Linked DNA regions of Drosophila melanogaster. The protein of the gene in region 2 interacts with the protein of the main gene of each other region in a pairwise test. Each region holds a gene or a part of one and is shown on either strand. Other genes may lie near its edges.

Region 1 (3,592 bases), on a different chromosome or scaffold from region 2:
AAGTTGAAGGTTCAGTTCATTTTGTGGTAGTTAACAAATGATTCCGTTGATCTACAGACGTATAAGCCCACACATAAGTTGGCCAACAATCATTTTCATCGGTACACTGATGTTAAGCCAAGGGAGGAGCGGCGGGCCACAGTCATTGATCTGGCCAATCAGCCAAATGTGCAGGGCAAAATCAATGGATGGAAAATTTATCATTTACGCTCGCAAATGGAGGACTTGGTAAGCAATGGGCACGAAAGTATTGGTAGGCTACTTTGACTGAACTGATTTCTTACAGAATGAATCGGAAGTCTTTAGTCTGGGCAGGCTGGAGACCATGCTGCAGGATCTCGAAAAGGACAAGGAGAAGCACAGCGAAATTGAGCGAGTCACTGAACTGCTAAAGGTGCGCTCTTATACTTATATCCATTATGCTTGAATCTCAACATAAAACCAATTTACTTTGCAGGGAAACATTCAACGCAGCAAGATTATTACCGATGGCATCAACGAGGCACAGAATCAGTTAATGAAGATCTTCGAGCATAAGCCACACGTTTCTAATATAATCACCCGCTGCGCTTCGAAAAGGAATTTCAAGAAGCGCGAAAAGATCTAAAAGTAATTGACGAACGGAGATGGCCAGCCAAGTGTGTATTAATAAGTTGTACATTACCTAATTTAAGCAGAAATTATAGAATCCAAGATAATTACCTTAAACGCGATCGATTTGTAAGTCGTACAGCTACAAAGAAAACCAGCAATATTTTTTCAATTTATTAAGCTAGAAACACAAATACAAAAACCCTCGAGTTGTATTAAGTAGAAAATTGTTTATTATTTGAATATTTCTGTGGTAATCGGCTTGCGTTTGGAGAAATCCCGTAAACATTGTCGATGAATTAGTTGTTTGAAAGCATGGGTGGCGGTGGATGAACGCCATTGAACATGGGATGCATAGCAGGACGTGGCGGTCCCGGCATGGGGAATCCGCCTGGGGGGCCTAGTGCCCTATGTAGATTCGGCGGCGGTGGCGGCAGGATCTTAGGTTCGAACTTGAAGGCGAACTGAAGGAAGAACTGCTTGGTGTCACGGTTCCAGTGCGTCCAGAACTTGCCCTCACTCTTCTCCACTTCGCGGGACGGCACCTTGAACCCTATGGTCTCGTACGGCTCGGCGGCAAAGAGAAGGTACTGCCACTTGCGGTCTGGCGGCTCGATCTTTTGCTCGTAGGCGGACATGAAGCGGTGACGCGGAACAATGGACTCCGTGATTTCCGGGTAGTCCACCTGAAAGAGCAACGACTGCTGGCCGTTGCTGAGTTCACGCTGCTTGGTCACCCGGTAGCCGGGTCGTCCAATCTTGACGAACTTCTTCGGTTCCACGCGGGGCTTCTCGGGCGCCAGCAGCGAAGAGGGTGCCTCCTTTGCCTCCTTGGCGGCTCTTCTTGCCAGATTATCCTGATGCTTCTTGCCCTGCGTGTGGGCCAAATAGCTGCCCTCGTTGTTGTGCAGCGTCAGGCAGAGTTTGCACTCGTAGGAGCCCAGATGGTTCTTCATGAAGTACGGATCCTTGTTCAGATCGATTGTCTCCAGGGCCAGTTGACGCAGTCGCTCCTTGCGGTCGCGGTTCGTCTCCGACCAGGAGGCTACGCCTCCGCTGCCGGTCTTGCCGCCGGCGCGGTTTTGGAAGTCCATTTTGTAAACTTTATTTTAGTTTTCAACCGCACGAAGGAAAAACGTTTTGCGTTGGTAAAATTTCATGAAAATTTGTTGTACAGAACAGGGTTGTCAAGAAACGCCAATTCGGTTAGGGGTGGTAGTTTATCAGAGTCAATCGATAGTTCGTGTGCAGGATTAAAGTATTAAATAAATAATAGAATGTTTCATAAATCCATTAAAATTCTTAATGATAGTCAAATTTTTGCAAACTGTAATATACATAAAATAACTTATATATTCCTTTTGCGATGTTTTTTTAAAGAATTACATATAATATTTTGGTATATTTTCGTTCCGAAGCTTTGAGAATATTTTACTTTTTCAAAGCGGTCACACTATTAATTCGAGCTGCACATGCTTGATCTTTTTTAGAATTTAAAAAGTGAAAAATGTCTAGACAGCGATCTAAACTAAAGTAAACTAGTGTTGGTGACAAGTACTAGGCCTCGAAAAGCGTGTTTTATTTAAATGTCACTGCGTGGATTACGTCGGACTTGAGAAAAATCGAAGCAACGAGTGTTTAAGAATTTCGATTTCTGTCGTCATTTTCGTGGAATAAACAGTGCCAGTGTCTTATGCGATTTTTAAAGTAACCGCGAAATGGACAACTCCAGCAAACAGGTCATCATGGGTCCACCGGCGCCAATGACCACCACTTCTAATCAACCGAAGCCCGGTAATCCCACCAGCGCCCCTCCTCCACACGCCACCAAAACTGCTGCAGCTCCGCCCAAGCGAATAATTAAGAAGATTCAGCTGGATTTCAACAAGCTCAAGGAGGCTGGACTCGATAGGCAGCTGGCCGAGGTGCTTAGGAAGCAGAAGCTGGATGCCAAGAGGGTGGACGCCCCATCGTCCACCAGTCTTTCCACCTCTGCCGCAGCGCAGTCGACGCCAACTGCGCCAGAGAGCAAATTGCAGTCGCCACAACAACAATTGCGTCAGCCTGGTAATGCATACTTGTATATATATATATTTGCTTTAAGCTGTGCATCGCCCAAAAAACCGTTACAAACCCAGGGGTTTTGTACCAAGTGATACGAAAATCGTCTAAATGCTTCTACGAGTTTTGGGCACAGTACCGAAAACCAAAACGATGGTGCAACTGATTGAGACGCCGACAGATTGTCAAAGAGTTAGTTTTTGTATTAATTGTTCTGAGTTCGTCTCGCAGTGAGTGCGGCGCCTTCACTTTCTTTTCGTGTATCTCGATATATTTTATTTTTTACGTATTTCGAATGGCAACCTAAAATAATTTTTTTTAGTTTAAAAAAGTCTATTTTTGTTAAAAATTCAGGTCTATAGGTTAGAAATATTAGGATGGCTAACCATCTGTATCTGTATCTGAACATCTACAATATGTTCACTTGTCAAACAGGACGTTATTATTTCCAAAACATACTGCCAATAAAATTTATATTGAATAACATAATTTGGTATTTAATTATTTAAAACGATCGATATTTTAATAAGCCAAGAGAATCACATGTTTTACAAGGATATTTTATGTATATTTTAATATTCTTTTAATAAATAAATTTAAAAAACCAAAAAAAAATTAATTCGGGACATTTAGATTAGTTGGTACTTTTCTTTGAAATGAGATGAAATATACTGCTAATACTAGAACACTTCAATATTTTTGTCGTTGTTGTTAAATGTAACACAAAAAGTTTTTAACGAAAACTTTTTTTTAAATTTTAACAATTGAATAATGAGTTTAATCAATAATCATTTAATTTTTGTTGTTGTGTGATAGAGTACTAACTACGTAAAGCCATAAATTATGAAAATTTAATTGGTCAAAAGCAAATAAAATTTTACACTTAATTGTAAAATAGGGATAATGAGCTTAATTCATAAATATGATACCCTTGAAAGGG
Region 2 (6,718 bases):
TTAGGCAAAGTGCGAAATTCTTGTTAAAAGTATATGCTAATGATGATACTGTATCTATGTTACTTTGAAATGAGATAACCTTCTTGTAAAATACTATTACCTATGTATTACAACCTTTGATTTACAACAATTATATATATATTTTTTTTAAACAATTTTCAAATGATATACGCATATACATACATATATTTATGTTGATCGTTGTAAAGTAATCAAGAGCAAAAATGTAAAGCACACGCTCGCGCGGCAGAAGGAAAAATTCAATAATTTGTAATCAAATTACAGCCGAAATCTTCAAACTGAGATGTTACAAAATATAAGGAACAGCAGATACAGCAGAAAACAGCTCCCAGAGAACTACGTCTCCCCCAGACCTACAATGCCCCATAATCTACACCCGGTACTATAACTAACCAGCCCCATGTAGAGAGCCGTAGCCTAGCTATGTCCATTGTCCTTGCTCCACGCACTCGACTGTTTCGATCTATCATCACACATTATCCTCGTCTCAGTGCTAGAGTTCCACATCCTTGAGTAGCAGACGCAGTTGAGTGCCGGGGATCAAGGCTAGTGGATCGCCCAAAATATACAATAATGCATCATATTATTACGTTCACTGTTATTTTTGTTTATATATATGCATAATATATATGGATATGCTGCACCGGCGACTATTAAACTGTAAGGTGTAGCGCTAAATTACAATTTTATTGTTAAAGAATTCAAACGAAAAAAAAACAAGCGGAAGCAAAACCATTGGCAAGCGAAATGGCCCATTAAACGGATGAAAGAAACGAAGACTTGTTTTATGTCAAATGCATTAACAACAATTGCCTTTTATTGTTTCCGATAACAGGTTATCCGTTGGCTAGAGAATGGAGTCCAGGCCCCGGCGACGAGAGCGCTGCGACAGGATTGGACGGGGCTTGTAGAGATCATCGTTGGTGTACCGCTGCTGCTGGCAGAGCTTCTTGCTGAGTCGCCTGGCGGACAGGGCGTCTGCTGATAAAAACAAGCACTTTAGTCACACGCATTCACGGGAATCGCTCGAAGCATCAACAATCGGCGGGCAAAGGACAGAGAATCGCGCGGGAACCGCTTACCCAGCTCCATTGCGGTTTGGTTAGGACTACTAGTGGTGGCTTCATACAGCTACATATTATGTATATTAGTTAACAATGCGGATGCGTGTGGGGGAGAAAATAGAGGCGGTAAAGAAGAATATTGAGGATGAGCATGAGAACAGAGATGTATGTATGTAGATCACATTCGCAGGGTGGATCGATTTGTGTTAATTATAGACTTTATTATCAATTTTTACTTGATTTTCACTAAACGTTAAGACATACGACAATTCAATTGCATCGATCCACCCTTTGTGAGAGTTAGCAAAAGAGAGATTCGAGGAACAAATGCTACACCAAATGAAACTTAGCAATGATACAGTACGCACCATGCTCCTGCTTCTCCAGTGCCTCGTTCTCCTTCGAGTTTATGCTGGCGTCAGATGGTGTTGGCGATGACTTGGGCTCGTCCTGTCGCAGTCTCTTTGCCGGACTGCCGGCGGTGCTGCTGCTGCTCGGACTTCTAGGCTGCGGCGGTGTCGTTTCCCGCTCCACTCGATGCTGCTCCTGCATGCTGCTCCGTCTTCGCTTGGAGAGGCTGCGTCGCAAGGCACGTATATCCACTGCCTCCTCCTGTGTTCCATCCTCACTTAACCTGTTAAGCAAATTCTTTCGATCCTCTATCAGTTGATTGATGAGCTGCAGACGCGTCCTAAACTCGTCTGTGTTTTCTTCGAAGTGGGTCACAAAGTCGGCACTAAATTCGTCGCTTTGCTCATTCGAGATTGGGACTGGTGTGGCGGGTTTGTCAGCATCTTGCGGTGGATCCTCCACATCGCCGACTTGAGCAGGTTCGTCGACGCACTCTTCGGGAGGATTTTCCGGTTTGCTCTCCTCTTCTGACTTATTCTCTTCGACATTGGTCTCTACCTTTTCGTCTTCCAATGTATCCATGCTTTCCTTGGCTGGCAAATCGGGAACGGAGTCAGCTAAAGTTTGAGGTTCTACAGTTGGCACTTCATTCTGCGAAGCACACTCGTCTTGCCTTGCCTCCAATTCTGTTTTTTCCGGCTGATTATCCGCCTCTTTTCCGTCTATATCTTCGGGTTCATGCTTACTGCTCTCCGCTCTGTCATGCGATTGGGATCCAGCGGTCAGTTCAACAAAACTGCTCGTCGATTGCTGCAGGATGTCGCTCACGATGACAACACCGCTGACATTGTCGCAAGCACCATTGGTGCTGCCGTTGGAGTTTCCATTCGTGCCGTTAGCATTCTCCACGGGCGCATCTGATTTCATTGTAGCTGCTGAATCCTCCGGCTGGGAGTTCTTGGCCGGACCACCAGAACTTGGAGGCTTCCCCTCGTCGTTTGAGTCGGAACCCCGACGCTGCTTATACTTTTCTTTGCTCTCGCTATGATCATCGTGGATAGCCTTGTTCTCTGCACTGCCAGAAGTGTTTGATTTGTTACGATCACGATCGCGGCCTCGGTCGTGATCTTTTCTCCTTGACGACGACGAGGAACTGCTACTGCTGTGGTGGCTGCGACTTTGGCTGTCCTTTTCCCTTTCCTTATCCTTCTCCTTGCCTTTATCTCGTTCCGATCGCGAGGATGATGAACTGGACTTGTGTTTTTTGTGTGAGGAAGATTCGTGGCGTGATGAAGAAGTGGTTCCCGAGCGCTTGGATGACGACGACTCTCGATTACTCCGGCTAGATGAACTTGAGGAGCTCTTATCGTTCTTGGAGCTACTACTCTTATGCTTCGAGCTGGAGGAGTTCGATGAGGAGTGCTTCGAGCTGGAACTCGAGGAATGCTTGCTGTGCGATTTGTCGCGACTACGATCGCGGTCCCGATCTGTGCTCCTTCGCCGGTGTTTGTCATCTGAGTGCCTGTGGTGTCGCCGATCCTTTTCCTTTTCCTTATCCCTAGACTTCGAATGGCTTTTTGATTGCGAGGACGTGGATGTTGGCGACTCCGTGGACTCAGACGCTGTGCTAACAGCGTCTTTTGGTGCATCCAATCCAAGCTCTAGGGGTTTATCTTGCTTGTCTTCAGTTGTTGCTGGTTGCTCATCTTCTTTGACATCCGTGTTTACATTGTGTGGTTTATCCCGAGTTTCCGACTCCTTGGGTGTCACGGCCAGCTCTGTGATGAATCCATTACTACCTTTCGCCCTTCGGGGCGTTATAGCTGCCTCAGCTTTTGGTGGGGCTGGCGGAGGAGGAAGCTCGACTTTCGGTGGTGCTGGAGGAGGAGGTGGTTCAAGTTCTGTGGGTGCCGGTGGAGGAGGTGGTTCAACTTCAGCTGGTGCCGGTGGAGGAGGTGGTTCAACTTTAGTTGGTGCTGGTGGTGGTGGTGGCGGCGGTTCAACTGTAGGTGGTGCTGGTGGTGGTGGTGGCGGTGGCTCAACTGTAGGTGGTGCTGGGGGTGGCGGTGGCTTAATTGTTGGTGGTGCTGGTGGTGGCGGTGGCACAAGTGTTGGTGGTGCTGGTGGTGGCGGTGGCTCAATTGTATGTGGTGGAGGTGGATCAAAACGAGGTGACGCTGGTGGTTGGGGCCCTGGCGGCGACTCAACTCCTGGTGGTGCCGGCGGAGGAGGCTCTACTTTTGGCGAGGCTGGCCGCGGAGGAGGAGGCGGATTAACTTTCGGCGGTGCTGGCACTTGTACAGGCTCCGGTGCTATAGACTCAATACTGGCATTGTTGGCGTCGTCTATGTTTGCCTTCACCTCCGACATGATCTCATCCTCGATGGAAAGAATTTGGAGGCCTGTGCTAGTCGTCTCCGACACCGAGTTCTTTCGCTCAGTACCTGCACGAAAAAGAAATCGTAGAAGTTAAATAACCCATCGTGGCGCCCGGCAAACCCACCTTCGAAGGTAATGGCATCCTGTTTGATGTCGAAGTGAAGCTGTCGACCTTCGCTTCGGCCTGTTCCCGCACTAGCATCCCAAGAGTTTTCGCTGAACTTTGGCATTTGCGCTTCCTCGCAAATGTTCTCTGGCTCCCCACTGTTGTGAGCTGCTGTGTGCTGGTGGCTATCAACCATGGACTCCGTGGACGACGCCATGGTCAGGCGGCTGTCACTGGAAACCTGCGAAAGTTGCGACGCCTGGGAGACGCCGTTCACCGAATCCGAGTTATTCAACGAAACGTTGTTCAGCTCCTCCTTGATGGCAAGTGTTTTCCGCTCGCTCACTAGCTCGTAGGATGGCGAAGTGTCCTCGTCGTCTACACCGGGCGGAAGTTCGTCATCCCTCGACTCCGACTTGACGGTAGCCCGATCGGAGTCTGGACTTATCTGCTCCAGGTCCGTGGGCAGCAGACCAACCGTGGTCTCCACATTGAGCAGGCTGCTGCCGTTCAAGTGGGCACCAAATGGCGGCAAAGGCGGAGCTGACAGCATAGTGGGTCGCGCAGGTGGTGTGATGCCCAGGTACTTGTAGACAATGCTCTCGATCTTTGGCTCGAATATGGTAGCCACCTTGGGATTGACCACCTGGTCCACGATTTGGTCCACTCCCTTGTCCAGGACATCGGAGCTGAAACAGTCGATGTGATTACCCCAGGTTACCCAAGCCCCGCCAGAAGCATACTCACTCCATAAGGTGCTTGCGCAGCCTCTCTCGCAGCTGGACCTTGTTGGTCTCGGGCGTCCATTGCTGCTTGGCCAGAAAATCGTTGACCGCCGTCTCCACCTGGGTGCGCACATTCTGGTAGGCGGGCTTCGTGTCCACGTCCGCCAGGCAGCAGTTGAATCGGAATTCGTCGAAGACGCCCTGCGACTTCACCTCGGCAATCAGTGTCTTGATAAAGTCGTCCATGCTCCTTGGCCCTTGTTATTCGTGTGCTTTTGCTTGCCGCAACACCCGTGAGTGCCGAGGAAATCCAGGATAAACGTCGAGTTTGTCTTTACATGCGTTTACATGTATGTACATATGTTTACGCTAGGGATGGCCGCCCCACGTGAGTTTCGCCCTGATTGGATCCGGGCGTCGTGCGTGAGCGGTAGCTATGCCAACTTCTCAGTTTTACTAGCCAAATTTGACGAATTGCAGATACAGATACATTTTTACTTTTGAGTTATGAATGAAAGAATAATAAAGTATAGAAATATTTGTGCCACCGAGTTTTTACCTTTAAAGCCAAGTTGCATTTAATCAGCTATACATTAAGAACTTAAATGTTCATATTAATGTAAAATTCAGGTATTCACGTTGTTTTCGGTAAGGTGAAAGAATTGAGTTAAAGTTAAAATATTTAGTTTTGGAAAACAACAATACATGGCAGTATCTGTTAACTCCGAATAACTATTATAAAAACAATCTGTAACGAAGTCCCCTGGCCAGTGTAGTACCTCAGTCGTGGCTAAGGAACCTTTTCAAAAAATTTATATAGAAGGTTTAGAAACCTGTAGTTAGAAATTTGTATTGGATGACGTGCCTGAGAGCGAATAAAAGAACACCCCGCGGCGCTTATGATTTAGTTCAAAAATTATTATAAAAATTATTATTAATTATATAACTATACTATAAGTAAAAGAAAACACTTCGCCTCACTGTGCATTACGGTGCGAATCTTGGCTAAGTATAATCGATAGGAATGTGTGACGCCTATCTTTCAGCGATCGTATCGATGGATCGATAGCTACCGCGATGCCCACGGTTGCAGTCGAAGTTTTGGCGCAAGCGAAGCCTCTGTGTTCTTAGAAATTGTCGAATTAACGGTAGTGTTTAATTGACGAGAGCGCGATTAAACTGGACCGCAGAATGAAGCTGAGCACGGACGCGCACTCCGAGATCGAGGGCGACGCTGCCCACGGCAATGTGCTGTGCAACTCCGCGTCCGATTCCCTGACCGCCACCGACGAAGTGGCTGCGGGCAACGACGAGTCGGTGGCCACCGAAGGCGATGATGTCGAAATTCCGAGGGACACCAACAACAGCACTCCGGTTCGACTGCTGGACAAGCCCGGCCAAAACCCGGTGCAGAACGGCGCACAGCCCGCGGCGGAGGAGTCGGAGCTGGAGAGTCAGCGGCAGACGCCAGTCCAAAAACAGCAACAACAGCGTGTGTCCATGGTGAACAGTAAGTGTAACAATGGCGCAATATACCCCGCCGTATGCCGTCCATATGCTAATATATCTGCTTTTGTGTGTGCGCCTGTGTGTGCTGCTTTAGGGAAACGAGATCTTATCAACTTGCAGTCGGCGCTGAGCCCCAAATATATTGGCTATGCCAATGCCAACTCACCCACGCCGCTTTCCGATTCCGATGACACAATACGCACGACGAGGCGACGCGTTAACCAAGCGGCGGCTTTAAATAACAGCAGTGCTGGCGAGACCCTGGCCCATGATAATGCGTCACCAAGGACCCCCGGGGGAGGAGGAGGAGGTGGTGGAGATGATAGCGCTAATCAGCTGCTCAGCAAGACCTACATGAGCCCCATCGAGAAGCTGCTAATCAAAAACGGCGCTAGTTCGCCCAACAGCACCGGTTTCGAGGCGGGCTCCGAGGACCTGGGCATACGGCCAATCGTTCGCAAGCACGTAAAGCGCAAAATGAAAAGAGTGCCGAAGGCGAAAGTAACCCTCGAACTGGACGAAAAAAACCAGCAAGAGGTTGACGAAAAGTCAGTAAAAACGGA

The links.
Region 1: the proteins of BOD1 (region 2) and Sf3a2 interact in a two-hybrid assay, tested with the Drosophila melanogaster proteins (one large-scale study listed by BioGRID).

Annotation. Positions count from the first base shown.
Region 1 is NT_037436.4:12,812,223-12,815,814, forward strand, and holds Sf3a2 (splicing factor 3a subunit 2), read right to left. Parts: upstream 1,798-3,592; 5' UTR 1,686-1,797; coding exon 891-1,685; 3' UTR 806-890; downstream 1-805. Other genes in the region: Sap130 (Sin3A-associated protein 130), read left to right, coding at 58-228, 287-394, 458-607; CG42588 (uncharacterized protein), read left to right, coding at 2,310-2,658.
Region 2 is NT_033777.3:27,936,869-27,943,586, reverse strand, and holds BOD1 (biorientation defective 1), read right to left. Parts: upstream 5,026-6,718; 5' UTR 4,893-5,025; coding exon 4,669-4,892; intron 4,611-4,668; coding exon 3,940-4,610; intron 3,881-3,939; coding exon 1,454-3,880; intron 1,153-1,453; coding exon of another isoform or gene 1,145-1,152; exon of another isoform or gene 1,003-1,144; coding exon 869-1,002; 3' UTR 809-868; downstream 1-808. Other genes in the region: NSD (nuclear receptor binding SET domain protein), read left to right, coding at 5,838-6,156, 6,250-6,718.